Elephas maximus indicus: one gene and its partners. The protein of the gene in region 1 binds, or shares a complex with, the protein of each later gene. Links are inferred from orthologs where the notes say so. Each region holds a gene or a part of one and is shown on either strand. Other genes may lie near its edges.

Region 1 (11,637 bases):
AGTTTGGACTTTATCTTGAGCGCCTATGAGGATACATCAAATTCCACTTCTCTAACAGGAGCTATGTTGATCAATGCAGTGTATTCCACTTCTGTTTTGACACCAGCAGCAATGCAGTACTTCTTCCTCTAACCCTAACCATCTGGAGTTAGGTCAGACCTCACAAGGTAAAGGGCACAATCTTTCAGACTGCCAGGTCTGCCCAAGACCTCAGATGCCAGTTGCAAGCTTGGGAGTCCAGCCAACACACTCACTTCTGACCTGTGGCTATAAATGTGGGTAGTTCCCTTTACCCAGCTGTAAGCCTGGCGGTCCCTAGCCTCACTTCTGACCTACTGGCTACTTCTACTCCCTCGGGTTTGATAATTTGCTGGAATGATTCAACAGAACTCACGGAAAGCAGTACACTTATGATTACGGTTTTATTACAGCAAAAAGGATACAACTCAGGACCAATATAAAGAAGAGACACATAGGACAAGGTATGGGAGGATTCCCATCATGAAGCTTCCGTGTCCCAAAGGACGGGCTACCCTCCCATGTGCAACCAGAAAGCCTGTGAAGCTTCTGTGCCCAGAGCCTTTCTTGGGGTCTCATTACGTAGGCATGATTGATTAATCATGCCCCAACCCTCCCTAGTTGATGTCACTCACTGGTTTTTTTGAGCTGCCTAGGCCCCACCCAGAAGGCATTTAATTAGCGTAAACCCTCAGGTGTAGTCTGGATGCTTCATAAAAGATAATCAATGGAGAATTTTCAAGGTTTTAGAGGTTATCTCTTAGAAACCTAGGACAAAGACCAAATTCTTTGGGTAAAGTTAATGTAAACCCCACAGGCCTTAGAAAGCTCTGAACCCTAGCTAGGTTTAAGCAGAGAAAATTTGGGTGTCAGGAAGATTGTTTCAGCTCAGTGATGCGTGTGTGTGCGCACGCGCATGTGTGAGAGAGAGGCTTATTATAGGTGGAATAGTAGTTTAATGCAATACGACTTGCTCAAACACCTGCATAGTTCTGTTTATAAGTGTGTGTAGATGACAACTCAAGTACAAAGAGTCTTTTTTTCAGCATTTTCTGAGTACCTACTATATACTAGGTTCTGAGGTGACAAGATAAATACAACAAGGTGTTTGCTTTCCTAAAGCTCTCATGGATTTAGAAGATTTGTAATTATTATTAGGTACTTGGGAAATCCTCGTGGCATAGTGGTTAAGTGCTATAGCTGCTAACCAAAAGTTCAGCAGTTTGAATCCACCAGGTGCTCCTTGGAGACTCTATGGGGCAGTTCTACTCTGTCCTAAAGGGTTGCTAGGAGTCGGAATTGACTCGACTGCAATGGTTTTTTTGTGTGTGTGTGGACATAGAAGAAGAAAGGATTGATTAACAGTAGATGGTAATCAGGGAAGCCCTTGAAAAGGAGGTGACATTTTAGATGAGCTTTGATGGAGTAGGCCCTTAGGGAGGGAAGATAATTTTGGGCTGGGAGGGGGTAAAATGAGCACAGTTAGGAGATGTGAGAATGTATGACTAGAACAAATGCTGCATAATAAAAAATAGTTGAGGATGAAGCTCTTTTTCCATTAACCAGCAACTAATAGAACTACTGAGCTCTACTCTATATTTCGTGACAAGGGTAAGACACTTGGGTCTCCTTAACAGCAGCAAGAATGGTTTGAAGAAGCGAAGAATGTGTTTTAAAATGGTGATTCTTTTTTAATTTAATTTTTTTCTTTGTTAGAATAAATGCATGAGCTGCTCTGACGGTTTTTGCTATTTAATTTGCTCACTGAAGAACAATGTGAAGTTAAAAAGCCTTATTTAGCTTTTTTTTGGTATGCTATTAAAAAAAAGAAAATATTAACCATAGCAACCCTGACTTGTCTGTGCCTACAAGGTGCTGTCTGTGGAAAGGCTTTTTGAAATCAGTCCTTATCACTTCCTTTAGTACATCATTTCAAATTAAATGATTTTAAAATCCCTTTTTCCTCAGACATGCTTTTGAAATAAGCTGTAGTTCCTATATATACTTTTAGAGTGAGGCGTTTATGACTCTGGTTCATCGGTTATTGTGTAGACAAAATAAGACATAAAAAATGGTTAACACAAGGTTGGCACAGCAGCCAGGAATAAATAAATGTCAGTGTTCTCCCTTAGCCTCAGCTTTCCTTTCATCACATTTTTCATTTTTTATTCCTTAAATCACCTTGTAATGTCTATGTGCTAGATAAAAAAAAAAAAAATTTTTTTTTTTTTTTTTAGATCCATCCTCTGTTCTAAGGACGCAGAATGAGGTGAAGCACTCAAGTTGTTGTTGTCAGGTACTATCGAGTCAGTTCCGACTCATAGTGACCCTATGCACAACAGAACGAAACACTGCCCGGTCCTGCCCCATCCTCACAGTTGTTGCTATGCCTGAGCCCATTGTTGCAGCCATTGTGTCAATCCATCTTGTTGAGGGTCTTCCTCTTTTTCGCTGACCCTCTGCTTTACCAAGCATGATGCCCTTCCCCGGGGACTGATCCCTCCTGACAACACATCCAAAGTATGTGAGACCTAGTCTCGCCATCCTTGTTTCCAAGGAACATCCTGGTTGTATTTCTTCCAAGACAGATTTGTTTGTTCTTTTCACAGTCCATGGTATATTCAATATTCTTCTTCCACACCACAATTCAAAGGCATCAATTATTCTTTGGTCTTCCTTATTCATTGTCCAGCTTTTGCATGCATACGATGCTATTGAAAACACCTTGGCTTGTGTCAGGCACACCTTAGTCCTCAAGGTGACATCTTTGCTTTGTAACACTTTAAAGAGATCTCTTGCAGCTGATTTCCCCAATGCAATGCATTTTTTGATTTCTTGACTACTGCTTCCATGGGTGTTGATTGTAGGTCCAAGTAAAATGAAATCCTTGACAACTTCAATCCTTTCTCCATTTATCATGATGTCGCTTATTGGTCCACCTGTGAGGATTTTTGTTTGCTTCATGCTGAGTTGCAATACATGCTGAAGGCTGTGGTCTTTAATCTTCATCGGTAAGTTCTTCAAGTCTTCACTTTCAGCAAGGAAGGTTGTGTCATTTGCATAATGCAGGTTGTTAATAAGTCTTCCTCCAATCCTGACGCCCCGTTCTTCTTCATATAGTCCAGCTTCTCGGATTATGTGCTCAGCACACAGATTGAACAGGTGTGGTGAAAGGATATGACCCTGACGCACACCTTTCCTGACCTTCAACCATGCAGCATCCCCTTGTTCTGTTCGAACAACTGCCTCTTGATCCAGGTACAGATTCCTCATGAGCACGATTAAGTTTTCCAGAATTCCCATTCTCCACAATGTTATCCATAATTTGTTATGACCCACATAGTCAAATTCCTTTGCACAGTCAATAAAACACAGGTAAACATCTTTCTGGTATTGTCTGCTTTCAGCCAGGATCCATCTGACATCAGCAATGATATCCCTGGTTCCACATCCTCTTCTAAATCCGGCTTGAATTTCTGGCAGTTCCCCTTCTACGTACTGCCACAGCCACTTTTGAATGATCTTCAGCAAAATTTTGCTTGCCTGTGATATTAATGATATTATTTGATAATTTTTGCATTCGGTTGGATCACCCTTCTTGGGAATAGGCATAAATATCGATCTCTTCCAGTCAGTTGGCCAGGTAGCTGTCTTGATTAACTCAAGTTATTACCCACCAATTTAGCTTGCAGCGTGTGCCTGTGTGTAAGGAACCCTGGTGGTGTAGTGGTTAAAATAATAGAAACCACCAAAGGCTCTCTGGGAGAAAGATGTGGCAGTCTGTCTCCATAAAGATTTACAGTATTGGAAACCCTATGGGGTCGCTATGAATCAGAATTGACTCCATGGCAGTAGGCTTGAGCTTGGTGTGCCTGTGCATGCATTCAGAAGGCCATTCAGAAGGCTATCGGCTAACCCAAGCATCCAACTTGAGCCTTAGAAGGGGCTCAAAGGAGTTGGCTATGGTTCAGAGGTGTGGCTTCTGACAGCCCTAAGGGCCCAACAACCTTCTCACCTGAGTGTGCTTGAGTACAGCATTTTCCAAAGAAGTAGGAAAGACATTTATTCATTCATTCATTTAACAAATATTGGTAGCCGCTTACTAGTGTGAGGTGCTGAGTAAGAATGCCAGCAGGACCAAGGAAGTATTAGAGAGCATGGCTCACTTCCGCAGCTGCAGGTGGCTTGGCATGGCTGGAGTTAAATCTATTCTCAGTTTTTGTTGAGGCAAACAAGAGAAACCAAAACCTGAGAGGGAAAAGGAGGAAGTAGTCCAAAGGTAATTTGTGTGTTGGTGAGAATTTGTCACTTCAGAATTAGTCAGAACGGCCTAGACATTTCTTTCAAAAGCCTTATAACTTCCTTTAGGGAATTGCCAAACTGACTAATCCATTACTTTAACACAATGAGTCCCAAACTTTACTGCTCAATAGAATCACCTGAGAAGCTTTAAAAAACACTGATGCCCAGGCCACACCCCATACCAATTACATCAGAAGGCCTGGGGGGGTGGGAGCTAGGCTTCAGTACTTTTTAAAGACCCCCACGTGATCATTAACCGGCAGCAAAATTGTGGAGCTACTGCCTTAGGGCATAATCCAGTTTTGTTCAGTTAAACACACACACACACTCTTGTGTTGGTTCAGGTTCCAAGCATTTCTTAAATTGTTTTTGCTGTCTTCCTGCGTTGGGGGCGGCTGTGAGCAGGAAGAGGATATGGTGTCACCCAGTTAGGAGATGCCACTTTGCTAAACCGATTAGACTAGCTTGCCAACGCTGCACGAGAAGTGGATTTTTGCTTTGTCATTCTGACTTTGGCTGCTAACACTCCGACTCAGGGAAGGGCGTGGCTTCTCGTAGCTATTAGAAACCACCAACCCTTTCACCTCAGCTCGCCTCAGTCCGGCATGTGCCTCGGAGTCTAAGGTGGCCCTTCTGAGGAAGAGCCTGACGTCCGACTGCTCGAACATAGTAAGCTCTGCGGTGATTGAAAACGGACAAAGCGCTAGGCCTGTAGCCTGTGAGCACGTTGGAGACTGTTTGCTTGCAGGGAGTGTGAGCTTTGTGCCTGTGCGGTGCATTATGATTCCAGGGAAAGGGGAGATATTTTAAGGCGGGTCCCAAAAGTGGGATGAGGCTTTTCTAAGGCAGGTGAGCTTCTTGGCAGCGTTCAGAGATGAGTTTCATCTTGGTCAGTTAACGCTTCAGCATATGGTAGGGGAGGCTGGCACTCTGTCGGCTGATGATTTCCTTCCTCTAGCTCTTGTTTGCAGAATATCAGAGAAAATGGGTTTTTGTATAATTTCTTAGTACACGACTCTTGAAATGTAGATAATAATCCGATGAATAGATTGACAGATCCTGGACAGCATTAAGAAAGTGTAAATGTGTAAGAATGCCTTCCCAAGGAAGTTTTACATCATTTAATCATCAGAAATTTTGAGAGGTTGGCAAAGCATATGTAATCGCCATGTTTTTACAGGTGGGGGAAAGCAAGGCTCAGAAAGTTCAAGTGAGTTGCCCAGTTTGACAGAGATTATGAAGTGCGGCAGCTACTGGACTCCAGTGTTTATTATCTCGGTGTATCAGGCAGTACTGGGTAGTGGTTCGGAGCATAAACCTGAGCCACACTCCCTGGGTTTGCGTTCTGGTTTTGCTGTTCCCTAACTAGCTTTGTGTTCTTGGTTATGTTACATAGCTTTTCTGTGTTTCAGTTAACGTATCTGTGAAATGGACCTGGGGCTTGATAATACCTACTTCAAAAGGCTAGTTGTAAAGATTAAATGTTTAATACATACAAAGCATTATGGAAGCGTTAGCTGCTATTGTCATTATTGTTAACGCTAAACAAATGTACGTTTGAGTGTTGATTTTGTCTCATGAATGGCCCTGACATCGTTGTAACTGAATTGTTTTTAATTCTATCACTGACTCATTCTCTGCCTCAGTTCACCCTTTGTAAAACTGAATTATTAGTTCTGGTCTTATCTAGAATTTTGATGCGGTGCTTCGAAGTTCTTAAGTAAAAGCACCCTAAATGGGCAGTGTTGGTAATTTTGCTTCGTGGTTTCAAATTTCTAGAAAACATTGGAAGCTGGATTTTGGCATTCTATATAGGTGCAGAGTTCAAAGCCCAATTAAATGGGGAAGCGTTTTGTGAAAGCTGAGAAAATTTTGTCTTAAATTCTTGCTGGAAAAACGGGACGGTTAATTTTAGCAGAGACTTGCTATGATTTAACTGACGTTTCTATCTAGCCTTGAGGCCATGTTTTCAGTTAATACAGAGATTGTCCAGGTCCAAAATCCAAATCTGACTAGGCTTTAGTCATGGTCAGAAATGGAGCAAGTCATGCTAACTTGCAGGGGAGTCACCGCCGCCTTTCCAGAGGGCACACAGTGCACTGGAAGGCCCCGGGCCCCGGAAGCTCCGCCCCTCCACAGTTCCCGCCTCGGTCGGCTGTAAGAAAGACCTTACAGACTCCACTGTCTGCTTTTTTTGTGCTACAGAGGACGGGCTGGTCCTGGAAGGAGCGCTCTCGGCATTGACCTTGGAAACCAAAGTGCCCGTGGTGTTTGTGAAACAGAGAAAGATAGGCGGCCATGATCAGACCTTGAAGGTAGGAGATACTGACGTTTCTTTTACCCGCCTTAACTAGGAATGAGCTCAGCGAGCCCATTGTGGCAGCTTCCTGTTAAAGGCAGTGTTCTGTGAATGAACCTGAAAACGGAGCCCATCCTTAGAAAATGACAAAGAAACACTTGTGGGATAACTAACATTGTTAGTTCACATTGATCAGACGATGGGTAAATTTAAAGACGGGAAGCTTGAAACGGGAATATGTAACAATTTTCATATTTTAAAATAAATTAAAAAAATTGCCTCTCCCCCTGCCTCCCTCCCAGTCAGTCTAAATAACTTAAAAAATTTTAGCGGCTGTGTAAACTTTTGATTTTGCGTCTTTTAGGGAAGTACTGTGAAAAGGGAGTCAGGAAATTCTTATTCTCCTCAAGTCACCCCTGTCTCTTCCTCTTTAGTTCCCCGGGGTGGGGGCGGGGGCGGGGGGGGGGGCCAGAAACCCCCAGGCTTCACTGAAGAAAGCAACCAGAAAACTCCTGGGGTGAGTATATATCTTTTCAGAAATCTCTTTTTTTTTTAGCCCAGAGCTAACAATTGGGTGGAGGAAAAAAAAAAAGGGAACAAGAAATCTTCCTTTTGGTTCTTGACAGGATGGGACACCCTCCGCCCCTTATGACCAGCCACTGACCGCTGGAAAAATGCATGGAAGCTAAATGCATGTTTAAGGCTAGATGTATGAGTGATGTTCTACTGGTTATCATTTTAGAAAGTTCTAGTCCTCATCCATTTGTAGCTGTGTAGTTTTTAAGAAATGGAACTGATACATGAACATTGTCTACTTAGCAGTAAACCCGAGGCCTGATTTGAATGAAAGAATGTGTTTAGGTGTGTGTGCCTTTAAGAAATTATTAACAATTTATATTTTTATGTATTACCTTTTCTTGCTTCTGAAAGAATCTCATTTAACTTTTTAAGAATGGGTGTAGGGAATGGAGCTAGACTTCAAAGACAGCAAGTGAATGGGAAATAATTAAAGGAGATAAGAAGACTTTTAACTTTGTTTGAAATACATTGTTACTCAGACCTTTAGTTTGCAAGTAAAATGAGACAAGTCTATTAATACTCCTTTCTGTCAGATTATTCTATTCTATCCACCTGTGTCATAAACTTATGCTTAAAAGTTACATAGGCATTTGGTCTTTATATAATTCTACAGATGCTCCTGGTTTTAACATCAATGGGAGTAAAAAGAATCACCATTTTTATAAGCTTTGGGACCCACTTTATTAACATGATTTGATGTTTTCAGTTCCATATGATCATAGTTAATTTCAGATCCTTAATGAGGTGCAATACCATGAATGAAAAGCATACCACCAAGGCATACTTAAAACAAAAATCATTTAGCACATCCCTTTTAAGTAAATTTACTACTCTACTATGTATCATTTGATTTATTTTTGTTTTTTGATGAGTGCTAAGAAATGGAACAAGAGACACAACAGGGGTAAGGACTATCAATTTGAAGTTTGCGGATTTCCAGCCAGTTATTATCCACATTCGGTGATAAATCTTTAGGGAGCTTTGGGTTTGAGTGGAGAAGTGTATTTAATTAGTGGAGAGTGAGTACTTATAGAAGTTGTGTCCTAATCTTAAAGTTCATACCTTTAAGTTAAGACTTCATACTTTACTTGCTGCTTAATCAAGTAATGGTGAGGGAGTCTTTAGAATATCCTTTTTGCCTTTCTCCTTTTAATATTGTTCCTTCCCTTCATGTCCATTTCCCTCTTCTTCTCAATAAATAACAACAGCAAAACCTACCTTGCTTTCACAGTGCACTACTGTAGAAGAGGGAGAGAGAATCCCAAAGGCAGGATCTGGTGAGCCTAGATGACTACCTAAAGGATAAAGACTTTAAAGAAGTGTGTTTAAAAAAAAGTGTAGAATCCCCTGGAGTGCTTTTTAAATGTGTATACCTTTTTTTTTTTATACCTGAGCTTTACCTGTGTTCTTCTTGAATAGACCCTCTTTATTTTCTTTTCAAAAAACTCCCTCAGATAATTCTTAAGAATATCAAATTTGAGGCTGCTTTAGAGGAGTTTGGTCAAGATCAGTTGATAAAATAATTAGAATTGGAGAAAACAAAGATAGTAGTTTGAAAACCATTGTTGTCGAGTTGATTCTGACTCATAGTGACCCTATAGGACAGAGTAGAACTGCCCCATGGAGTTTCCAAGGAGCGGTAGAAGATTGGAACTGCCAAACTTCTGATTAGCAGCCATAGCTCTTAACTGTGGCACCACCATGGCAAATGGTAACTCAACAGGGGTGTAACGCTTCACACCTGCTTAGAAAAATAGAGAAATGTGTTACCTAAGGGCCAGGGCTTGTATGTCCATGCGTAAAATTAGAACTGGGGAGCTGCTAAATGCTAGAACCTATGAATAGAGTTCCTATTGCTCAAAGACATCTGACTTTTATAAACATCTTAGTTTTTAAGCCCAAGATTACAAGCATTCTTATAGGGAGTCTCATACGTAGATCAGTATCTTCAGAATTCCAGATTTCGAAACCACTCATATAAGTGACCATTGGTGGTGTTGAACTGAATGAAAAAGTCCTTGTTGGAATATTAAGTGCCAGACAGAGTTAAGACTTAGTAGTTTAAGGTAACTTGTCTCAAAACTGCCTTAAAACTAGTAGCACAATTTAGATAATTTCTTTAAGGCAGTAATAGAGATGACAGATACAACACAGTGGGTGATTAACATCCAAATGAATTGTGCAGGCAGTCGGAGTAGGAGCTCAGATGTGATCATATTGTAGTCGGGTTCAGCGGTGTGACGTTCCAGCCTAGGGAGGTAGATACTGAACAAAAGGTAGATCTCCTTTCAAGTCTGGCTTCTAAAGTTACTAGAAACCAGACTGTTAATGAATAGACATCAGAAATAAGTGGTATTTGAATAACTTTCCAGCCACTCCACTCAGTACTGTACCAAACTTCCAGAAAACTTGATTTCCTTTGATTCTTTGAGGTAATTCCATTTCCGTGGTGGAGGATTAGTAGTGTATCTGCTTTTGGCCTGGTTTAGGGTTGAGACCTAAAGGAGAAGATAAAGGAAATAAACAGGCTCCTTGGGTGGTGCAAATGGTTAACTAACGCAGCTGCTAAGCAAAAGGTTGGAGGTTTGAGTGTACCCAGAGGTGCCTCAGAAGAAAGGCCTAGCAATCTACTTCTGAAAAACCAGCCATTGAAGACTGTGTGGAGCACAGTTCTGCTCTGACACACAGGGGCCACCATGAGTTGGAATCGACTCGAGGGCAACTGGAGGTGGTGGTGGTAGTGAAGGCTTACCTTAATAAGAATTTGGAACTTTTGGGGATAAGGACTACAAACAAGATTTAAAAGAGGAAGTGGATTGTTAGGAATGTGAATAAATTTATCTGGTACACAGAATAGTAAAATTTTACTGGTTGAATCCATGTTGAAATCCACGTTGAACTCTATTCATAGAGCCAGCATTTAGCAGCTCTGCAGTTTCGATTTTACACGTGGACATACAGGTCCTGGCCATAGGTAGCATATTTCTCTGTTCTTCTATGCAGGTATAAAGTGTTACACCCCTATCAAGTACTCGCTTCTTCCACTTCTACCAAGTGACAACACAGACCTCTTTGCTGTGTAGCGTTATTATTCTTACATGGTTGGGGCTTCACATTTGATCTTGCCTTTCCTCTTTGTTCACTTACCAGGACTCAACTATTTCCCACACATCTGCGAGTTGCCTCTATTAACTTTTGCCCAGACAATTTCAGGGCCTCATTTCCTCTTGCCTAAACTATTTCAGCAGTCTCTAACTGGCCTCCTGCTTCTGATCTCCCTCCCTTTCTGTTCCCTTTGCTGCCAGAGTCATCTTCCTGATGGCTGTTTCACTGCCCCTCGATCCCATCCAGGATAGAGTGTACATTCCTTCGCTTGGTATTCTGTACCCTCCAGGGTCTGGCCCCAGCCTGCTTTTCTGGTTATCTCCTCTGCTCCCTCATTTACTGGAGGCTCCTGGGAAGGCTGACTGTTGCAGCTATACTCCCTAAAATTTTCCTCCTTTATTCTGTTCTTTATTTCAATTCTTGACTTATTTTTCTGCCCAAATCTACTTTTTCAGCTGCTCCTGTTCAGGGTACGAGGTCAGGTTTGGCCACTCCTTGCCTCCTCTGTTCTTTCACAGCTTTCCCAGAAATTCCTTATCTCTGGAAAAGGAGGAATCCTGCCAGGGATAATTTTTTGGCTTCCATGTCAGAGGATAGTCAGAACTGACTCAACGACAGTGGGTTTGGTTTTTGGTTTTTTTATGTCAGAGATGCAGAGCTAGTCTTAATCTTTGTGTCTATTAAAAAAAAAACCCCATTGCCGTCGAGTCAATCCCAACTCAGCAACCCTATAGGACAGAGTAGAACTGCCTCATGGTTCCCGAGGAGCACCTGGTGCGTTTGAACTGCCAACCTTTTGGTTAGCAGCCGAGCTCTTAACCACTGTGCCACCAGGCTCCTATTAATGATAGTAGCTAACTTGTATTGAATGCCTTTTATGTGCTAGACTCTAAATGCTGTAATACTTAGTTGAGGTGGTATTATCTAGTTTTACAGATAAGAAAGTGGAGGCCCATGAGAAGTTAAGCAGCATGCCCAGAATTACACAGCCAGTTAGGTGGCAGAGCCAAGATTGGAACCCAGACCTGTATGCGTGTAGAGCTCACACTGGTGTACTCAGACTTCTGGCACTCAGCTTTGGTACTGCTTTGAGGATACATACCTGACCTCCCTGATAAGAATGTATGCCTATGATTCAGGGCTGAGCCCATGTCAACCCTGGTATTCCTAGCTCAGTGTTGGCATGTAGTAGGCATTCATCACTAGCTGCTTGCTGAATTGAACTGCATTCCTCTGTGTCTACTAAATTGCATATTTCCTTTAGGACAAGAATGACAACCAGTGCCATAGAGTTGATTACAACTCGAAGTGATAGCAGAGTAGAACTGCCCCAT
Region 2 (10,900 bases), on another chromosome or scaffold:
AGGATGCCAGCCATAAGCTCTGAAGTCTCCAGGGCCCCCCTCACTTCTGACCTGCTGGCTATAAATTCAGGGGTTCCTTCTACTCCTTCAGCATACCAGCTGTAAGCTCAGGTATGCCCAGCCCCCCTCACTTCGGAGCACACAAAAAGTCCTATACGTTAAGATTACGATTTTATTATAGGAAAAAGGATATAAATGAAGAGATGCCTACAGCAAGGTCTGGGAGGGTTCGCAACAAGAAGCTTCCGTGTCCCCAAAAACATGAGATACCCCCCCATTCACATCCATGTCTTTCACCAACCAGGAAGCCTAGGGGGTTTCTGTGTCCAGAGACTTCACTGGGGTTTCATTATACAGTCATGATTTATTGGCAATCATGCTCCCCCACCTCCCATATCATTTGTTGTCTTTCTGGACCAGCCAGCCCCCACCTGAGTCACCTTATTAGCGTAAACCCTAAGCTGTGGTCTAGAAGCCTCATCAAAGACACTTCAGTCACTGGGGAAGTTCCAAGGTTTTATTTAAAATTGTATTTTAGATGAAGATTTACAGAGAAAATTAGTTTCTCATTAAACAATTAATACACATATTGTTTTGTGACGTTGGTTGCCCCACCATGACATGTCAACACTCTCCCCTTCTTGACCCTGGGTTCCTGGTTACCAGTTTTCTTGTCCCCACCTGCCTTCTTGTCCTTGCCCCTGAGCTGGTGTGCCCATTTAGTCTCATTTTGTTTTATGGGCCTGTCTAATCTTTGGCTGAAGGGTGAACCTCAGGAGTGACTTCATTACTGAGCTATAAGGGTATTCGGGGCCATATTCTCGGGGTTTCTCAAGTCTCTGTCAGACCAGTAAGTCTGGTAAAACCCAGTGCCATTTAGTCTGGTAGGATGACATTTAACCAAGACATGGATAGACTCAACTTTTGTAATAGAGATGGACCTAATGTTTTAATTTTGCTGTTTTGGTTTTGGTACCAAGATTAAGGCTAGCCTCATAGAGTGTGGCTCTCTTTATCTTGTTCATATTCAGGTGTAGTCTGCGTAGGATAGCCTTTTTAAAACCGTCTGGGCCTGGGCACTTTGGGAGTTGGAGTAGATCTACATCATTTAAATTTTATTTATGATTATTGGTATACTTATTTTTAGGCCACGTTTTATAATTTGTATTCTTCTTGAAAATTGCCCCATTCATGTAGATTTTCCAATGTATTGGCATAAAAGTGTTCTTATGATTTCTAAAATTTTTACTGTTGTGCCCTTTTCACTGTTTATAATATTACTCATTCGTATCATTTTCTTGATCAATCTTACCAGAAATTTGCCTATTTTATTAGTCTTTAACTGAACACCAGCTTTTGGTTTCCAGAATTAACTCTTTTTTGTTTTCTATTTTACTCATTTCTGCTTTTATCTTTATTGTTACTTCCTTCCTTCTGCTTTCTCTGGGTTAATTTAGTTATTTTTCTACCTCCTAAATTAGCTGCTTTAAATTTTGTTTTCTTGTATTGCAATAAGTACACTTAAGGCTATAAATTCCCCCTCTAATTACTGCTTTTGCAGTACCCAGCAAGCTTTGATGTCAGGCTTTTATTGTCAATTCATATCTAAATACAGTAATTTCCATATTGGTTTTCTTTTTGATCCAAATGTATTTTTCAGTTTCTAAATGTATATTCTTTTTCTTTTAAAAAATGTATTATAAAATCAACATACAAAAAGTATAAAAATTAATATAATGAACACCTGTGTAACACTCAGGTACACATCACCCAGCTTAATAAGACTTAAATGTTCATTTATAATTTTTAATCTTATTTTTCATAGGTAAAGTATGTATGTACGTACATGGTTAAAAAAAATTTATCCCATCTCTATGTCTCCTTCTTAGAAGCAACTGCATTTACTTATTTCAGTCATCTATGTGTTGTATAGGTTTCTCTGGTTGCTGACTTTTAATTTCACTGCGCTGTGGTTAGTGAATGTGGTCTGTAGATTCTTTGGAATTCATCAAGACTTCCTTTGTGGCCAGGTACATAGTCAATTTCTGTAATTGTTCCAAGTATATTTGAGAAGAACGGATATACATAAGATCTTTTTCTGAAATACAAATCTGATCCCATCACTTCACCTCCAATAGCATCTATGCTCTTCAGGTGAAAGACCACAACCTCCTTAGCACACGGTTTGGCCTGAAGCTTCCCTAAGGCCTTGGTCATCTCCCTCGTACTCAACAACTTTACGTACGTGTAAAAAAAAAAAAAATGTAACTCTCTAAAATCTCATACCTTTTAGGGGCAGCTTTCAGAAGAATTTTGAACTATCAGAGATGCCCTGCAGCAGACAACCCAATGTCTGGCACAACCAAGGTCCTAATCGATGCTCATTGAACCAACTAGAGAATGGGTTGTCTAATTAGTGTAAAGTCATACTGAGGCTGGATACTCACCTTGTGTGGATCATTCCCTCACCCTGAACTCCAATTCTTGCTCTCTATTTATTCCTCTTGAACCTGATCCATTCATTGAGACCTCTGGTAACTATACTCCTTCTCTTTCTTCTATTTGTCAGCACTTTCCCTCCTTCCTCTCTGTGTCTCCTCTACCATGGTGGATCATTTCAAAGATACTCCCACCAACACACTCGAGTTATTCTGCCTTCTAGAGTCCGTTACTTATGCCCTAAGCCTCTGATACTTTTCAGTCTTGCACAGTGGTGTCACTTGGGGGGTAAGGACCACACTGGGTGACACTGTCAGAGGGGGTGACACCAAAATGACTGTCTATAAAAATACCTTATAGTTAGTTGTAACAACAAAAACAGTTTTCATAAGCTCAGCTCACATGCATCGGCTAAAACTATGCTAATTTACCTTTGAACCTTCTAATGTGCCCAGTTAGAGGTGTCATTATTACCCAATCACAATGACTCCTGGAATCATGTGGCTTCCTCTGCATGTCTTACAAGCACGTGCTGTTGTTTTCGTAGCTGCTGGTTGTTTTTACTGTTGCTGATTTTGTCAAATTTTCTGGTGTTTTAGCTATAATATTTGGTAAGTAGGATTTGTGAACCTATATCAATAATCTTTTTGTGAATGAAGTAGTAATTAAAGGTAAAGAAGGAGTGACATACAGGGATTATGATTTACCAGTAACATTATACAAAAACATTACTGAAGATTCTTTATGGTCTGATATGGGAGAAAGTCCATGGCGGGGGGTGACACTAACCCTAGCGACACCGCTGGTCTTGCAACCCTTTCTTCTCTTTCTACCCCTTTCTTGGCTCTTTGACCATGAAATTTTGGAATTCCCAGTGTTATTTATTCTTGGTCGTCAACTTTTCTCTCTCTACACATCAGGAAAGCCCCTGCTTCATTACAAAAAGAGTCTCTATCAAGGCTAAACAAGTGCTGTCATGGAAGAACACTGGCCCTGTGTTGCCAGACTTCCCTGTTTTTCATGAATTGTCAGATATTTCAGGGTTTTATGTGGATGCCTCAACCTTTAAATATTGATAATGAATTGAAAAGTTTACAACACACTGTGAAGGACAAGCAAAACATAGATGTTGCATCCTGAGGGCTGTTTTCTTCTCTTATTTGACTGCCCCTAAAACAGTTTAACCCACAGTTTATGAAGTACTTTATCAGTAATGGTAGCTTACACTTATCAAGGTCTTACTGTGTTCTAGGCAATCTTCGAAGTGGCTTGTGTGTACAAACTCATTCAATATTCGCAACAACACTGTCAACAAGGTGCTGTTATCTCTACTTTATAGATGAGCAAACTGGTTGAGAGTTTGAGTACTTTGTCCTGAATCTCAGAAATAGTGAGTTGAAGAGTTCAAGATTTAACTACTACTGTCTACTGCTTTTCCCCATTCAACAGATGAGGAAACTGAGGCCTAGAAAGGTAAAAGCAATTAAACTTAGGCACTTGACTAAAGTAAAATGGCTGCTTTAGATTTTGGGGCCCTACATTATCTTCCCTTCGTTTTACTATATATAGTTTTACAAGAGGTTATCAAGACTCTTCCTGAAACAATTTCTCGAGAAGAAGACCTTAATGCTGACTCTTATCTAGGTCTCCTAGGCAACTGCTGACAAGAAAAATTTCACGTGAACAATCTGTTTCTAAGAGAGAAATGTCCTGTAGCCTTCCTCCTTCTGGCCCCACTTCCAGTAACCTGACTTGCATTAATCTAAGTTTGTGATGTTCAATCAAAATAGTACAGCTCATGTCTTTTGTTCTGACCCTTTAAAAGGTCTTCACAGCTTTGTTATTTTGGAAGTATTTGTTCTGTCTGTAAAATTAGGTGTTTTCTCTAGTCGAACCTACAAAAAATTTCCTTGCTTTATTTTAACAGAATAAGCATTTGTAGGGATCTGAATCTAGCCTCACTGAGATAGATACTTGCATTTACTACTGTTCTATAATAGTTACCTCTTTCTCTTGCTAGGAGTTCTGGTGGTGCAGTGGTTAAGAGCTATGGCTGCTAACCAAAAGGCCAGCAGTTCAGGTTCACCAATGGCTCCTTGGAAGCCCTATGGGGCAGTTCTGCTTTGTCCTAAAGGGTTGCTATGAGTCAGACTCGACAAAAGCAATGGATTTTCCCCCAGCTACACTGCATCCTCAGCCCTCAGACTAGGGACTGGCGTACAAACTTTTGTAAAATAAGTGCCCTGGAAATTCAAAGCAATTCATTCACTTCCATTAACCACCTCATTTACTCCTCACAACATTCCCTAGGTAAGATATTAAAAAAAAAAAAAAGATATTAGAGAATATTTAATCAGCACTTGATATTCATTATCTTTTTTAAACGTCATGAAACTATGTCCTAGGAACGGTTACTATCTCCATCTAATGGAAGAAAAAACAGTCTCAGAGAGGTTCAGTGACTTGCCCAAAATCCTACAACTAATAAGTGACAGAGCCAGTTCAGGTTACATGACGACGGAGCCCTCATTCCTTTCCACGAGGCCACACTGTCAGTTCTACAGATGGGGAAACTGAGGCCCAGGTCAGGGTACTAGCTATGCTCGCAGAACCCTGGCCATCGAGGGGGAGCACAGACTGCACTCCCGCTCTTCCTTTCCTTCGGTCGAGCGGGGCCCCTGCGGTGCGGGAGGCAGAGGACGACAAATGCGAAATCCTTTCCCATAAAAGACACCAACAGAAGTGCGGGAAGTCGCGCAAGGCTCCGACCTCGGCGCGCGCATCACTGAGGCCCAGTGGTGACCTAACGGACAGAGCCCGAAGTACCATGACAACGGGGCGGGCGGGAGCACAGGAAGTGCGTCACCCAAAAGGAGGGAAGAATCGGCTGGCGGAGACCAATGGGAGCGCAGCGTTCGCGTTCGCCCCGCCTTGAAGGAGGTCCCGAGTCGACCTGTCGGCCATCTCCGCCTTCACAGTCTACGCTGGGCTCGAGTGTCGTATTTGGTAATCCGGGAAGGGGGACTGGAGGCTGGCGCGAAAGGAAGAGGGATGTCTGGAAAGGCGAGGGGATATGTGAGGTGGGGTTCGGCGAGACAGGAAGTGGGGGTCAGGCTCTGCGTCGACCATGTGCGGTGATGGAGTGTGGCGCTCTGGAGGAGGGCTTGGGGCTTCTTATTTACTGATGGGGAAACTGAGGTCCCGAGAGGGGGAGCAGAGGCAAGTAGACGGGGGTCTAGCCTCATTAGCACACACACATACACCTACAAATTTTTGCATCGTCATATCCGGTGAAGAAAATATTGTTAATCGTAATATTAAGTGAAAAAAACAAAATTACAAACTTTTAACCGCGATTACATCCTTCGCTGACCACCCTCTCGGGTAATCTCGCGGTCCTCTGTGCACCCCTCAATTTTGTGTACAGTACTCCTTACTTAGTACAAGTCCACAGTCCCTTATTTTAAATCCCCGAGGTAAGACGTGTTCAGAATACAGGATTTCTCGGATTTTAGAAAGGTAATATTGTTGTGTTGTTGAATATGGTGAGTATATTGTGTTATGCCATACCCTCAGCGGGGTCTGGGGCAGCGTCCTGAAATCAAATACATTAATATTTCCATATTAAAATATGTGCATATTTACACTACCGGGGTAAATAACAATCATAAATAGCCTCAACGAAAGTCAGCTCAGATTTAAAACCTTTTTTTTTTTTAATTTTGGCTTTCAGATCTTTTGAAATTTAGGAATTGCAGATGAGGGACGTGGATCATAATTTTATTGTCCCACTCGTTTTTCTTGCTTGCCTGGACTGGGATTGCCTTGAGAACAGGAACTGTGGTTTTGTATCCCCACTGTCACTAACTCCTTGTGTCACTTTGTGTCCCTCTCAGCCTCAGTTTCCTCATCCTTTTCACATAAGGTCCTTGTAAGGATTAAATGAGACTATTCATGAAGCATTAGCTCTCTTGTCGAGCACATACCACAAATGTTTGTGACTCAGATGTGCTTATTCTACAAACATTTCTATTTTAAAATGATCTGATGTTTTTTGGTGAACAGAGGTTCTTAATTTTAATGAAGTTGAATTTATCAGTCTATTCCTTTACAGTTTGTGCTTCTTCTGTATCTTTCAAAGAAATTCACCCTACCCTTGGGTAAAAAACCCTCACAACTAGACCAATAAGCAACATCATGATAAATGGAGTAAATAATTGAAGTTGTCAAAGATTTCGTTTTACTTGGATCCACAATCAACGCCCATGGAAGCAACAGTAGAGAAATCAGATGACGTGTCACATTGGGCAAATCTGCTGCAAAAGACCTCTATATAGTGTTAAACTGCAAAGATGTCACCTTCAAGACTAAGGTGTACTTGACCCAAGCCATGGTATTTTCACTTGCCTCATATGCATGCAAAAGCTGGACAATGAATAAGGAAGACCGAAGAAGAATCGATGCATTTGAATTGTGGTATTTGGCGAAGAATATTGAATATACTGCCAGAAGAATGAACAAATCTGTCTTAGAAGAAGTATATCCAGAATGCTCCTTAGAAGTGAGGATGAAGAGTCTTCGTCACACATACTTTGGACATGTTATCAGGAGGTACCAGTCCCTGGAGAAGGATATCATGCTTGGTTAAGTAGGGAGTCAGTGAAAAAGAGGAAGACCCTCAACGAGATGGATTGACACAGTGGCTCCAATAACGGGCTCAAACATAGCAACAATTGCCAGGATGGTGAGGAACCAGGCAGTGTTTTGTTTTGTTGTACATGGGGTAGCTATAAGTTGGAACTGACTCAAAGGCACCTAACAACAAACAACGCTTAGGTTGGTCATAAAGATATTCTCCTTTATTGTAATCCAAAAACTTTATACCTTTCTTAATTTTAGGACCTTAATCCTCCAAGAACTGATATTTTGAATAGTGTGAAGCAGGGGTCTAATTTCATTTTTTTCCCCTACATATGGATAATTAGTTATCCCAGCACCTTTTGTTGAGAAGTTTGCTTTCATTTGGAGTTCCATTTCTTTAACATCAAGTATGGATATGTTTATATTTTTCTGTTTCTGAGTTCTCTATTCTGCTCCATTGGTCTTATTTGTCTATCCCTGTTTACCATCACCACACTTTATTTATTACTCTTGAAATAAATCTAACATCTAGTAGGACAAGTCCTCCTGCCTTTTCTCTCCAGGAGTTTCTTGGCTCTCTTTGCCTTTACATTTCCATCTTGTCAAATCGCATGTTGTTGTTAGGTGCCATCGAGCTGGTTCTGACTCATTGTGACCCTGTGTACCACAGAATAAAACACTGTCTGGTCCTGCACCATCCTCACAATTGTTGTTATGCTTGAGCCCGTTGTTGCAGCCACTGTGTCAGTCCATCTCGTTGATGGCCTTCCTCGTTTCTGCTGACCTTCTATTTTACCAAGCATGATGTCCTTCTCCAGGGACTAGTCCCTCCTGACACCATGTCCAAAATATGTAAGATGTAGTCTCGCCATCCTTCCTTCTAAGAAGCATTCTGGTTGTAATTCTTCCAAGACAGATTTGTTCGTTCTTTTTGGCAGTCCATCGTGTATTATGTATTCTTCGCCAACACCACAATTCAAAGGCGTCAATTGCTCCTCGGTCTTCCTTATTCATTGTCCAGCTTTCGCATGTATATGATGCAATTGAAGACACCATGGCTTGGGTCAGGTGCACCTTAATCTTCAAGGTGACATCTTTGCTTTTCAACACTTTGAAGAGGTCTTTTGCAGCAGATTTGCTCAATGCAGTGCGTCTTGATTTCTTGACTACTGCTTCTGTGGGTGTCGATTATGGATCCAAGTAAAATGAAATTCTTGACAATTTCAATCTTTTCTCCATTTACCGTAAAGTTGCTTATTGCTCCAGTTGTGAGGATTTTTGTTTTCTTTATGTTGAGTTGTAATCCGTACCGAAGGCTGTGGTCTTTGATCTTCATCAGTAAGTGCTTCAAGTCCTCTTCACTTTCAGCAAGCAAGGTTGTGTCATCTGCATAACGCAGGTTGTTGATGAATCTTTCTCCAATCCCGATGCCCCGTTCTTCTTCATCTAGTCCAGCTTCTCGGATTATTTGCTTGGTATACGGTTGGAGTAGGTATGTTGAAAGAATACAACCCTGAGGCACACCTTTCCTGACTTTAAACCACTCAGTATGCCCTCGTTCTGTCCGAACAACCGCCTCTTGATCTATGTACAGGCTCCTCATGAGCACAATTAAGTGTTCTGGAATTCCCGTTCTTTGCAGTGTTACCCATAATTTGTTATGATTCACACAGTCGAATGCCTTTGCATAATCAATAAAACACAGGTAAACATCCTTCTGGCATTCTCTGCTTTCAGCCAGGATCCATCTGACATCAGCAATGATATCCCTGGTTCCACATCCTCTTCTGAATCCGGCCTGAGTTTCTGGCAGTTCCTGTGGATGTACTGCTGCAGCCACTTTTGAATGATCTTCAGCAAAATTTTGCTTGTGTGTGATATTAATGATATTGTTGGATAATTTCCACATTTGGTTGGGTCATCTTTCTTGGGAATAGCCATAAATAGGGATCTCTTCCAATTGGTTGGCCAGGTAACTGTCTTCCAAATTTCTTGGCATAGACGAGTGAGCACTTACAGTGCTGCATCTGTTTGTTGAAACATCTCACTTGATATTCCATCAATTCCTGGAGCCTTGTTTTTCGCCAGTGCCTTCAGAGCAGATTGGACATCTTTCTTCAGTACCATCGGTTCCTGATCATATGCTACCTCTTGAAACGGTTGAAAGTCAACTAATTCTTTTTGTTGTAATGACTCTGTGTATTCCTTCCATCTTATTTTGATGCTTTCTGCATCATTTAATATTTTTTCCATAGAATTCTTCACCATTGCAACTTGGGGTTTGAGTTTTTTCTTCAGTTCTTTCTGCTTGAGAAATACTGAGTGTGTTCTTCCCTTTTGGTTTTCTGTCTCCAGCTCTTTGCACATGTCATTGTAATACTTTGTCTTCTTGAGCCACCCTTTGAAATCTTCTGTTCAGTTCTTTTACTTCGTCATTTCTTCCTTTTGCTTTAGCTGCTTGACGTTCTAGAGCAAGTTTCAGAGTCTCTTCTGATATCCATCTTGGTCTGTTCTTTCTTTCCTGTGTTTTCAATGACCTCTTGCTTTTTTTCATGTATAATGTCCTTGATATCATTCCACAACTTGTCTGGTCTTCGGTTATTAGTGTCCTGCGTGCCAAATCTATTCTTGAGATGGTCTCTAAATTCAGATGGGATATACTCAAGGTCATTCTTTGGCTCTCCTGGACTTGTTGTAATTTTCTTCAGTTTCGGTTTGAACTTGCATATGAGCAATTGATGATCTGTTCCACAGTCAGCCACTGGCCTTGTTCTGACTGATGATATTGAACTTTTCCATTGTCTCTTTCCACAGACATAGTTGATTTGATTCCTGTGTATTCCATCTGGTGAGGTCCATGTGTATAGTCACCGTTTATGTTGGTGAAAAAAGGTATTTGCAATGAAGAAGTCATTGGTCTTGCAAAATTCTATCATGTGATCACAGGCATTGTTTCTATCACCAAGGCTATAGTTTCCAACTACCAGTCCTTCTCCTTGGTTTCCAACTTTTGCATTCCAATCAAGTCCAGACACATAAAAAGCCTGTTGGAATTTTGATTGGAAATGCATTGACTCTTGGATCAATTAGGATTTTAAAGTGATTACTTTTAACGTTTCACCATTAAGTATTATGTTCACTGTAGGCCTTTTGTAAACATCAGTTAGTAGATAATGGAAATTCCTTCTATTCCAACTTTACAAAGGATAAATGTTTGCATGAATAAACGGTGAATTTTGTTAAATGTATTTCTGCATCATACTATTTGTTAATATGGTGACTCACATTGATGAATTAAAAAAAATACTGTGTTTTCAGTGAATGTTTACACAGCAGTTTATGTTCCCATTCAACAATTTTTACACAAAGTGCTCAGTGACGTTGGTTACATTCTTCGCAGGGGGTGAACATTCTCATGGTTTCTATTCTGGTTGTTCTGTTGCTATTAATGTAGTTTCCCCACCTCCTTACACTCTCATATTTGTTTAAAAGTGGTTGTTAACTGCTTGGTCTCGTAGATTTTTCACATGAATCAATTTTTGAATGTTAAACCAATCCTGGCATCGTTGGGATAAATCCAACTTGGTCATGGTATGTCATTATTTTTATATTGCTGGGTTTGGTTTGTTCTCATTTGGCTTAGGACTATTAAGGGTCACTATGAGTCGGAATCATCTGACAGCAATGGGTTTGGGTTTTTTTTTTACAACTGTATTCATGGAAAATAATCCATTGCCATCAAGTCGATTCCAACTCATAGCAACACTGTGGGGCAGAGTAGAATTGCAGAAAGGCTGTAGTCTTTACTGAAGCAGACTTC
Region 3 (9,887 bases), on another chromosome or scaffold:
TTCCAGTGGCCTGGAAGGCAAAGGTAAAGCCCAGGGCTGAGGGGCCTCCACTTAGAATCTGGAGAGTGTGGCCAATACCCAGAGTGGGGAGGGCAAGGCCATTGTGTAAATTGTCTCAGAGAACAGAGGATTACTTTCAGAGCCTTGAGGGCTAACGTAACGTGTTCTGCTAACTTGCTTGATGCCTGTTACCCCTTCTTTTCCTCCAGTTTCTCCCATTTGTAATGGAAATGTCTAGCTTGAGCCTGTTTTGCCATTGTACTTGGGAAGCAGATAACTTATATTCTAGATTTCACAGATGAAGAGGAATTTTTGGATTTTGGACTTGGAGTTAAGACTTTTGCTATGATATAATGGAGTTAATATGTTTTACATGCGGGGTTCTTGCACAGAGAAGCTCCTGGTCCAGGGGATGATTAATGACAAGGACCTTCCTCTAGAGCCGACAGAGAAGGCCTTCCCTTGGAGCTGAGGCCCTGAATTCGGACTTCTAGCCTATTAAGACTGTAAGAGAATAGATTTCTCTTTGTTAAAGCCATCTACTTGTGGTATTTCTACTATAGCAGCACTAGATAACTAAGACAGTTATCAAGGGTACAAAAAGACACGAAGGAAACTTAAATGCATATTGCTAAAAGAAGCCAGTCTGAAAAAGCTACGTACAGTATGACTCTAATTATATGATATTCTGGAAAAGGCAAAACGAAAGAGACAGATCAATGGTTGCCAGGAGTTGGGGGGTGAGGGGTAGAGGAGAGATGAACAGGAGGACCACAGGGCATTTTTAGGGCAGTGAAACTATTTATATGATACTGTAATGGGGGACACATGACATGATGCATTTGTCTAAACCTATAGGACTATACAACACAAAGAGTGAAACTTGATAACTATGGACTTTAGTTAATAATAATGTGTCAATATTGGTTAATCAGTTCTAAAAATTGTACCACAGGAATGGAAGATGTTAATAATAAGAGAAACTGCAGGGCAGGAAGGGTGTATGAGGGAACGCTGTTCTTTCTGCACACTTTCTCCATAAACTTAAAAAAGTATGCTTAAAAAAAAAAACACTATGTGCTAGATGTTCTCCTCAAAACAACCTTGTGTGCTAAATATCATCTCGTCATATAGATGATGTCAGTATTAAAAAAACAATAACAGGTTTAAAATAGCCCCACACACACAAAAAAGAAAGTCTAAGAAGAGGCTTCCAACCAAATGGCTGTAGTGCTTGGAAATGCCCTGTCTCATCAAAATCCACCTCCCCACGCCTTCCACCAGACAAGGAATGCACTGTTGCTGCTTAATTAAAATATTCTTCCAAGAGGGATAAATATTAGGTAGTCTATCATGTGGTCTAATCCAGGAAGATCTTTGTTAGGACCCAGTAGATACAATCAAGAGAGATTTTATTGCCAACCATTAAAATATACGCATGGGAGAGGGGGCCTGGAGGCCCTAGGTAGTGCAGACAGTTAAGTGCTCATTTACTAGCCGAAAACTTGGCAGTTCTAACCCACCCAGAGGTGCCACGGAAGACAGGCCTGGGTGATCTACTTAGGAAAGGTCACAGCCTTGAAAACCTTATAGAGCAGTTCTATGCTGCATACACGGGGTTGCCATGAGTGGAATTGACTAGATGGCTTCTAACAACAACAACAGTAATAGTATGAAGGCCAGAAGCATGGAGCGTTTGAGTATTTTTTAACACTTGTCTTTATATTTCACTGCCTGAACAGGAAACCACAAACGCCCTATCAGATCACCCTGAAGGTACATGACTGGTATGCCATGATGTCACTGGGAAGTTAAGCTTCATTAAAAATATATTTCTCATTTATCTCCCAAGCAAAAAAATCACGATTGAATTTTATTTTTAAAATAACTTTAACAGCACCTTGATATACACATCTGTGTTCTTCCAGACGTTTTTCTGATTTGCGTTTCACTGCAGTAGACATCTTTCTATGTACAGTATTGTGCAGTCATCAAATATTTCCCTTAACATGACTCCCAGAAGGGAGCCAATCATTACAGACAACTCTGCCAGGGCCTGTGAGAGGTGCTTCAAAAACCCATTTCACTTAATGACCTGAACCCAGCATTATTACTCTCATTTGGTTGACATGGAAGCTGAAACTTGGGGTGTCCGTAGCCTTCCAGTGTCATACAGGCTTTTAATCTAGGTCCATCTGATTCCAAAACCTTAACTTTTTCAACGACATCATGTCTATATTCTCTCTACATCAACATATGGTTCATAAGATCAGTCTCTGGAGGCAGACATCCTAATCCTAAGTTCAGATCCCACATCTACCGCTTATTTGCTGTGCGACCTTAAGACAGTGCTGAATCTTCTCTGTGCCTCAGTTTCTTCATCTGAGTGAAGAGGAAGGTAACAAATGCAGACCTCATTGGGTTGTGGAGATTAAAAGAATACACGTAAATCACCTGGAACAGGGTTTGACCGTATTATACCTTTTTACAATCATTAGTTATCGTCATGTACATTACTGTGTTTTCATTGCCATCATCACCACCACAGTCTCTCCCCAAATACCCATGGCCTTCAGTAATTATCTGAGGTGAGGTGAGGATGTCTTCTCTCTGCAGTGCCTGAAATCCTATTTTGTCACCTGCATTTTTCTGGAATGCAGCCCTGATGATGAAGTGGTTAAGCGCTTGGCTGCTGAAAGGTCACTGGTTTATACCCACCAGGCACTCTGCAGAACAAAGATAAGACAGTCTGTTTCCATAAAGATTAAACCAAAAAACCAAACCAAACCCACTGCCATCAAGTCGATTCCGACTCATAGTGACCTTATAGGACAGTGTAGAACTGCCCCATGGGGTTTCTATAAAGATTACAGCCTTGGAAACTCTATGTGGCAGTTCTGCTCTGTCCCATAAAAAAAAAAAAAAAAAGTTGGAATTGCCTCGATGGCAATGGTTTTGGTCTTGGTATTTTTCTGGAAGAAGGGTAGAGGTGTTTTAAGACTTAGAAGTAGTGTCTTTTCTCAGCCATTCTGAGCAATGACCATGTGCTATCTGAGGAAGAGGTCACTGAAGGGCAGTGCTAATGTTCACAGAGTCATGGGGGAGCCTGAGAGCTGGGGCTGCTTGGGAATTTAAACGAATACCTTATCAAGAACAAACTCCGAAGAGCTAGCCCAGCTGTCGACAGTGGCTTTCATCTTTTTATTTTCCATTTCTCCTTTATCTTTTGGTTGCTGAAATTTTTTACTCAGGATACAGCTGATCCTTGTGGAGAGACATTCTGTAGAATTCTAGATTATAGGAGACTCCTTTGAACTTGAGTCTGAATTTTAATTTGCAAAGAAACTTTGAAGCAGATGCATTTTCTCATTGTAAAAAAAAAAAAAAAAAAGACTGCTTGATGATCTGTTTTTCTTAGTAGGCGTCCCTCCCTAAGATTGATTCTTGGGGATATGTTGCTGGATCTTGTGTGGAACAGAAAGTTATTACTAGTAGCTTACCAGACTTGTAGCATATTTGCATCACAACGTGGAATATCATTTTACATTTAGTATTGCAATTCCAATGCCTTTATCAGATTGCATTTTCATATTGGATTACAAAAATTTCATACTACTAACATTTAATGAAATTTTAATAAGGTGGTGTTTTGATATTATTATTCAAATAGTCTGTTCTGAATTGCTTTCCTTTGAATATATCTGCATTAAAGAGGAACTCAACGTGATTTGGTTCTTCACAGAATTTACCCACTTTGTAGAGTAGCTTTAAAAACGCCAAAAGGGAAATTCAGTTTCTTCCTCACAAGTCCATAAATAAAGAAGGAACACACTGCTAAGATCTATATAAGTAATGGGGGCATAATTGCTGGTTCAAGTTAATGAAATGGCTCTTTTTTGGCTATTAAAGAGTTGCACAATTAAAATATATACACACAGCACACACATCATAGATTATGAGGGATGATACCCCTGGGTTCTCTTTTCTTTCTCATTGAGCCTGAAGGCTGATATATTTATTTTTCAGAAATTTAAGAGATTTACATTATCGCATTTCTTGATCAGTGATGCCCAAAATTAAATGGTAATCTCCAGACAGAGTATGTTTCTCCGTAGTATCCTTCTTACCCATTTCTGCTAAAATTGTCCTTGCGGTCCCAAGGCAGTTTACATGAACGTGTGCCTTCCAAAAGATAAACTCAGCTGACCAAGCAAAAAAATTGCACTGAACAGGTTTTGTGTAGTGGTTTTGTCATAATTGTCTAGCTGACGTAATTTAACATAGAGAACACTGAAAGAGAGAAAAGAAGGAAAAATTCCTACTTTCGAGGAAACCCTTCTTTTACCGAACACTTGTTCTTAATCGACTCTTAGGGACATTAGAGAAGGAAACTAGCGGTAATAGTTCAACAGAAGCCGTCACCCTGGAGTTGATTCCAACTCTTAGCGACCCTATAGGACAGAGAACAGCCCCATGGGGTTTCCAAGGAGCGGCTGGTGGATTCCAACCGCCGGTAACCCACTGCCATCGAGTCGATTCCGACTCAGAGGAGGGAGTGGCGAGGTCAGAGCCTCCCTGAGGCAAATCAGAAGCCCTCAGGCTCGCTCACTCTTTTTGCGCCTCCCTGTAGAAATACATGTCTTTCCTCTACCTTTCACCGAGCCCTGGTGGCGCAGTGGCAAAGCGCTCGGCTGCTAACCAGAGATGGGCGGTTGGAATGCAGCAGCCGCTTCTCTGAAACCCTATAGGGCAGTTCTACTCTGTTCTGTAGGGTCGCTATGAGGCAGAATGGGCAGGGTCTCAGCGGGTTTGGTTGCCTTTCACGGCCTTACCTTCCCCTTCACCTCGATTTTCGCCTACATTGATCCTTTGGGTTCCCTCCTTTCACAAATATTCCCGACTTTAAAGTTCTTAATTTTTCTAGAGAGCCTGTTAAATTTGCCTGGACCTGTTTGGTCCTGAATTCAGCAGCACACTTGTTTAGGACTTTCGGTCCTGTTCTCTATTTGTGTTGTTCGGTAAGGACGGACAACAAGTTTAAGTCTAGTAACCGCCACCGCTCCCGCCCGCAGACAGCCCGCGGCTGCGCAGAAACCGCCGCCGCCGGCCCGCGGACGTCCGGGACGCAGTGCGCAGACTCCGCCGACTCGACGCAGCGCTCCGCCCCCGGACCCGCCCACCGGCGCAGGGCTCCGCCCCGGGCCCGCCCACCGACGCAGCGCTCCGCCCTCGGCCCCGCCCAGTCTCGCCCCGAGGCGGATAACGCCGACCCACAATGCCCCGCGCACGCGCGCTGGGATCCCGCCGCCGCCGGTCGCTGGAGCTTTGCTAGCGGCCAGTGTCCGAGCCGGCGTCCGGCCTCAGTAGCCAGATAGCATGTTGCAGAAGTCGAGGGTCCGGGGACGCCCTGGGGCCCCGACGGAGCGGGAGCGGGAGGGCGGCCGCGGCGGAGACAGCCGGCGCCCGCGGGGCGGCGCGGCCGACGAGGCCCCGAGCACCTCCCGCGGGCCGGGCGGCTCGCAGGAGGCCCCCGGCACCGGGTCCCCGGGCGCCCGCTCGGCCCTGGCCGCCCCCGCCGTGGGGCCCAGGTCCCAGAAGCAGCTGGAGGTGAAGGTGGCCGAGCTGGTGCAGTTCTTGCTGATTAAGGACCAGAAGAAGATGCCGGTCAAGCGGACCGAGCTCCTGAGACACGTCGTGGGGGACTACAAGGACGTCTTCCCCGACCTGCTCAGGCTCGCCGCCCAGCGCCTCGAGTACGTCTTCGGGTACAGGCTGGTGGAGCTGGAGCCCAAGAGCAGCACGTACGTCCTGGTCAACACCCTGGAGCCGGTGGAGGAGGACGCGGAGGTGAGAGGGGACCAGGGCACGCCCGGCGCCGGCCTGCTGATGATCGTCTTGGGGCTCATCTTCATGAGGGGCCACACCATCAAGGAGACGGAGGTCTGGGACTTCCTGCGGCGCCTAGGGGTGCACCCCACCAAGAGGCATTCGGTGTTCGGGGACCCGAAGAAGCTCATCACCGAGGACTTTGTGCGCCAGCGTTACCTGGAGTACCGACGGTTACCCCACACTGATCCTGTGGACTATGAATTGCAGTGGGGCCCGCGCACCAACCTGGAAACTACCAAGATGAAAGTCCTTAAGTTTGTGGCCAAAATCCATAACCAAGACCCCAAGGACTGGCCCGTGCAGTACTGTGAGGCTTTGGCAGACGAGGCGGCCAGGGCCAGACCTCAGCCCGGTGTCCCAGCCCCCTCCTCGTGAAGTCCCAGGTAGACTCAGAGGGACTCCTGGGAGGAGGATCCGAGGCCGAAGAGGTGGGGGTGGGAAATAGTTCTGTGACGCTTGACTAGCTTGCGAAGATGTGTTCGTGTTTATTTTGCTAAATTACTTGGTTCCAAATCTACATGTGTAAGGAATTGCTTTGCTTTGTTGTATAGTCTATATTTTTTTGATATAAGAAAATGTTACTACTTCGTAAAACTGATCGTAACATTTCGTGCCCTGTTCTGAAACATATGTAAGAAAAAACACATCAGTAAATTGCTTTGGTGCCAAGTAAAAAACCACAGAGGTATTCTCTGGCCTCTTTACCCCAGTTTGAAGGGAAAAATAAAAAGTCATTATAAATTAAAGTGTAATTGCCTGTATTGTTGTTACCTTAACACAGTCATTGTATTTTTATATGTTTTACGTATTTAAGCATTTTTGGTGGTTCCAAGGAATATATCTTCAGTATTTTCTCTGAAAATATTTATCTTTCTGTATAATATTCATAGTAATTATCTAGCTGGGTTGCTGACAGTTAAGTTCCACTTAGATTTTATCCTTTTTTTCTTTTTCGCTATTACTGTTACTGTAATAAACACTATTTTTGAAGCAGTTAAGCAGTGTGTGTTTTTTTAATCATGTGTCGTGAGAAATTCATTTTGGCTGGAAACCAGCATCTTAAATAGAAATGAAAAAGACAGTTTGTGCTACATACAGTAACATGAGTAGAGTTTTACAGACCTTTCACTTTAATGTGTGTAAATGTGCATCACACTTTTCACTGTGGGTCACAGAAGACTTTGTGAAACTGTAGTGATTGACCAGGCCTGACCAGGAATCAGCCTGCTTGGGTTCAAATCCTGGCCCCCACCTCTAACTAACTGTAAAAGCTTAGATGGGTTACTTAACCTGGGTATAGGTGTTTCCTCACCTGTAAAATGAGGCTGATGTTGGATATATCATGTGTGATAATTAGATGTGACACACTGCCTGCCGTGGAGGATTTTGGCTGTTATTCCTTAAATTTTTTGAAAATTTGTGTTTTGTTCTTGGTCTGGAGCTGTGGTGGTGCAGTGGTTAAGAGCTCAGCTGCTAAGCAAAGTTGGTAGTTCGAATCCACCAGCCCATCCTCGGAAGCCCTAAGGGGCAGTTCTACCCTGTCCTGTGAGGTTGCTATGAGTTGGAATCCACTCCACAGCAAAGGGTTTGGGAGCTGTTTTTGTTCATTTTTAATTATCTCGGTCTAAGTCATTACTAGAAATGAAATTACTGATTTAAAGGTTATGACCCTACTAGTCTGACCCCATCTTGGGGTTTTATGGCAAACCAAACAGGTGGCACAGGGTAGGGTCAGTGATGAGCACAGCCAACATAGTGGTAAGAGCAGGAACATTACACGCAAGGTCTCCCCAGGGCTGTGAGGCATCGTCGTCTAGAGAAAAGGTTATGCATTTCAAGGTTGTCTGACAACCTGAGTTTGAATTCTAGCTCATTTTAACTTGTCAGCATGGTGGTTTGGGTAGGTTTTAAGCTCTCAGAATCTCAGATTCTTTATCTGTAAAATGGGGAAAATAAAGTGAAACCGGTGAGAGCTGAACTTGATGGGACTGCCTTGTTTTTCCAGGTCTCACAAGTTTTCCACCTTTGACAGTGTAGCTTACCGCTTTTCTCTTGCTCTCTATTAGTGGAAAATACTTGAGTTTTCCTTTTCTGGCAGGTTTCCACGTTACGTGGGTTCCAGCTTTCACAAGTTTTACTGCATATCATGGTGTGTTTTATGAATTAAATGAAATAGTATATTTAAAGTACCTATTTTTTTTTTAATAAGTTAGAGCTCAGTGAATGCTCTAAGAGTTGATTAAAATGTGACTTGATCATTAACATAGTGGTCTTGGACATTGTAAACTCAGAATTTTAGAGCTAGAAAGGATTTTAGAAATCATGTAGCCCAGCCATCTCTTGACACATGTGAAAACTGAAGCCAGAGGACACACATGGAATTAGGAGTAAACTAGGTCAAGGACTCAAATTTGAATCCCTGTTCAGTGCAATCTATTTAGGCTCTGTCTTGGTCATCTAGTGCTGCTGTAACAGAAATGCCACAAGTGGATGGCTTTAACAAAGAGAAATTTATTCTCTCACAGTCTAGTAGGTTACAAGTCCAAATTCAGGGTGTCAGCTCCAGGGGAAGGCCTTCTCTCTTTGTTGGCTCCGGGGGAAGGTCCGTGTCCTCCATCTTCCCCTGGTCGAGGAGCTTCTCAGGCCAGGACTCCGTATCCAAAGGACGCGCTTTGCTCCTGGTGCTGCTTTCTTGGTGGTATGTGGTCCCCAACCCTCTGCTTGCTTCCATTTCCTTGCATCTCTTGAGAGAGAGAAAAGGTGGTGCAGGCCACACCCCAGGGAAACTCCCTTTACCTTGGATCCAGGGAGGTGATCTGAGTAAGGGTGGTGTTACAATCTCACCCAAATCCTTTCAAGGTAAAATTACAATCACAAAATGGAGGACAGCCACAGAATACTGGGAATCATGGCCTAACCAAGTTGATACACATATTTTTGGGGGACACAATTCAATCCATGACGGGGTCTTTTCACAACAAGGAATAGAGTTTTACTAAGTCACCTCAAGCATTAAAACCAAAACCAAGCCCATTGCCATTGAGTCAATTCCAACTCATAGCAACCAGATAGGACAGAGTAGAACTGCCTCATAAGGTTTCCAAGGAGTGGCTGGTGGATTTGAACTGCCAACCTTTGGGTTAGCAGCTGAGCTCTTAACCACTGTGCCACCAGGGCTCAAAAAACGGACCTAGGAAAATCTTAACAGGCTGGCTTTGAGTCTGTAAGTTATTTTGGAATATAAATTACCTTCTGGCCAAGCACCTGCCTGCTGGTCCTTTCCTCACTGGCTGCCTTTTCCTCCAGGTGTGCTCTAGTACTCCCATTTTCACCTGTCTGGTACAATCATCATTACCTACCATCCAGTGGCAGTTATATCCAGGGCAACTGTCTTCTACACTTTTCTCATAGAAATGTCCACAATTTACCGTCAATGAATGACCATTTATTTCAGATTGTAAAATACAAAACATCACGGGCCAAATCAGGCCCTGTGTCTTTTCCTTCTTAACCGTTCTCAGAGGTAGAAGCTCCTCGCTGTCATGCCATCGTCTAGTGTCTTACTGCACAGGTGGATATACATAAACATAATGTGACTTTGTGAGCTTTTACAAGTAACGTAAGTGGTGTTATACTGTACATACCCATTTGTGACTTGCATTCGTCAGTAAACATTACGTTGTTGAGATTTAGCCACGTGGATAGATCCAACTCTGATCCATTCATTTTAATGGTTCTTTAATGGGGGCGGGGGGTTGGGGGGAACAGTTTGTCTTTTCCCTAGTGGCTAGACAGGTTCTTTTCAATTTCTTGCTATTCGCAGGCAGTGTGATCTCCTTAGTCACATGTGTGAGAATTTCTCCTGCCAGAAAATATTGAGCACTCATGGGGCTTTGCCAGATTGCTCCCCAGCTGGTATTAAGTTACACTCCCACCAACATTGTTGTTGTTAGGTTCCGTTGCATCACTTCTGACTCATAGCAACTCTATAGGACAGA

Evidence for each region. The genes of interacting proteins can lie anywhere in the genome.
Region 2: EID3 (region 1) and NSMCE1 share a complex: the UniProt entries of both Homo sapiens proteins name them as parts of the SMC5-SMC6 complex. The link is inferred for Elephas maximus indicus from reciprocal best matches to the Homo sapiens genes EID3 and NSMCE1.
Region 3: EID3 (region 1) and NSMCE3 share a complex: the UniProt entries of both Homo sapiens proteins name them as parts of the SMC5-SMC6 complex. The link is inferred for Elephas maximus indicus from reciprocal best matches to the Homo sapiens genes EID3 and NSMCE3.

What each region holds. Positions count from the first base shown.
Region 1 is NC_064822.1:170,974,743-170,986,379, forward strand, and holds the start of EID3 (EP300-interacting inhibitor of differentiation 3), read left to right. Parts: upstream 1-6,641; 5' UTR 6,642-11,637. UniProt on the Homo sapiens protein: Tissue-specific component of the SMC5-SMC6 complex, a complex involved in repair of DNA double-strand breaks by homologous recombination.
Region 2 is NC_064830.1:87,666,005-87,676,904, reverse strand, and holds the start of NSMCE1 (non-structural maintenance of chromosomes element 1 homolog), read left to right. Parts: upstream 1-5,370; 5' UTR 5,371-5,445; intron 5,446-5,455; exon of another isoform or gene 5,456-5,519; intron 5,520-10,900. UniProt on the Homo sapiens protein: RING-type zinc finger-containing E3 ubiquitin ligase that assembles with melanoma antigen protein (MAGE) to catalyze the direct transfer of ubiquitin from E2 ubiquitin-conjugating enzyme to a specific substrate.
Region 3 is NC_064831.1:94,935,613-94,945,499, forward strand, and holds NSMCE3 (non-structural maintenance of chromosomes element 3 homolog), read left to right. Parts: upstream 1-5,254; 5' UTR 5,255-5,376; coding exon 5,377-6,264; 3' UTR 6,265-6,857; downstream 6,858-9,887. UniProt on the Homo sapiens protein: Component of the SMC5-SMC6 complex, a complex involved in repair of DNA double-strand breaks by homologous recombination. The complex may promote sister chromatid homologous recombination by recruiting the SMC1-SMC3 cohesin complex to double-strand breaks.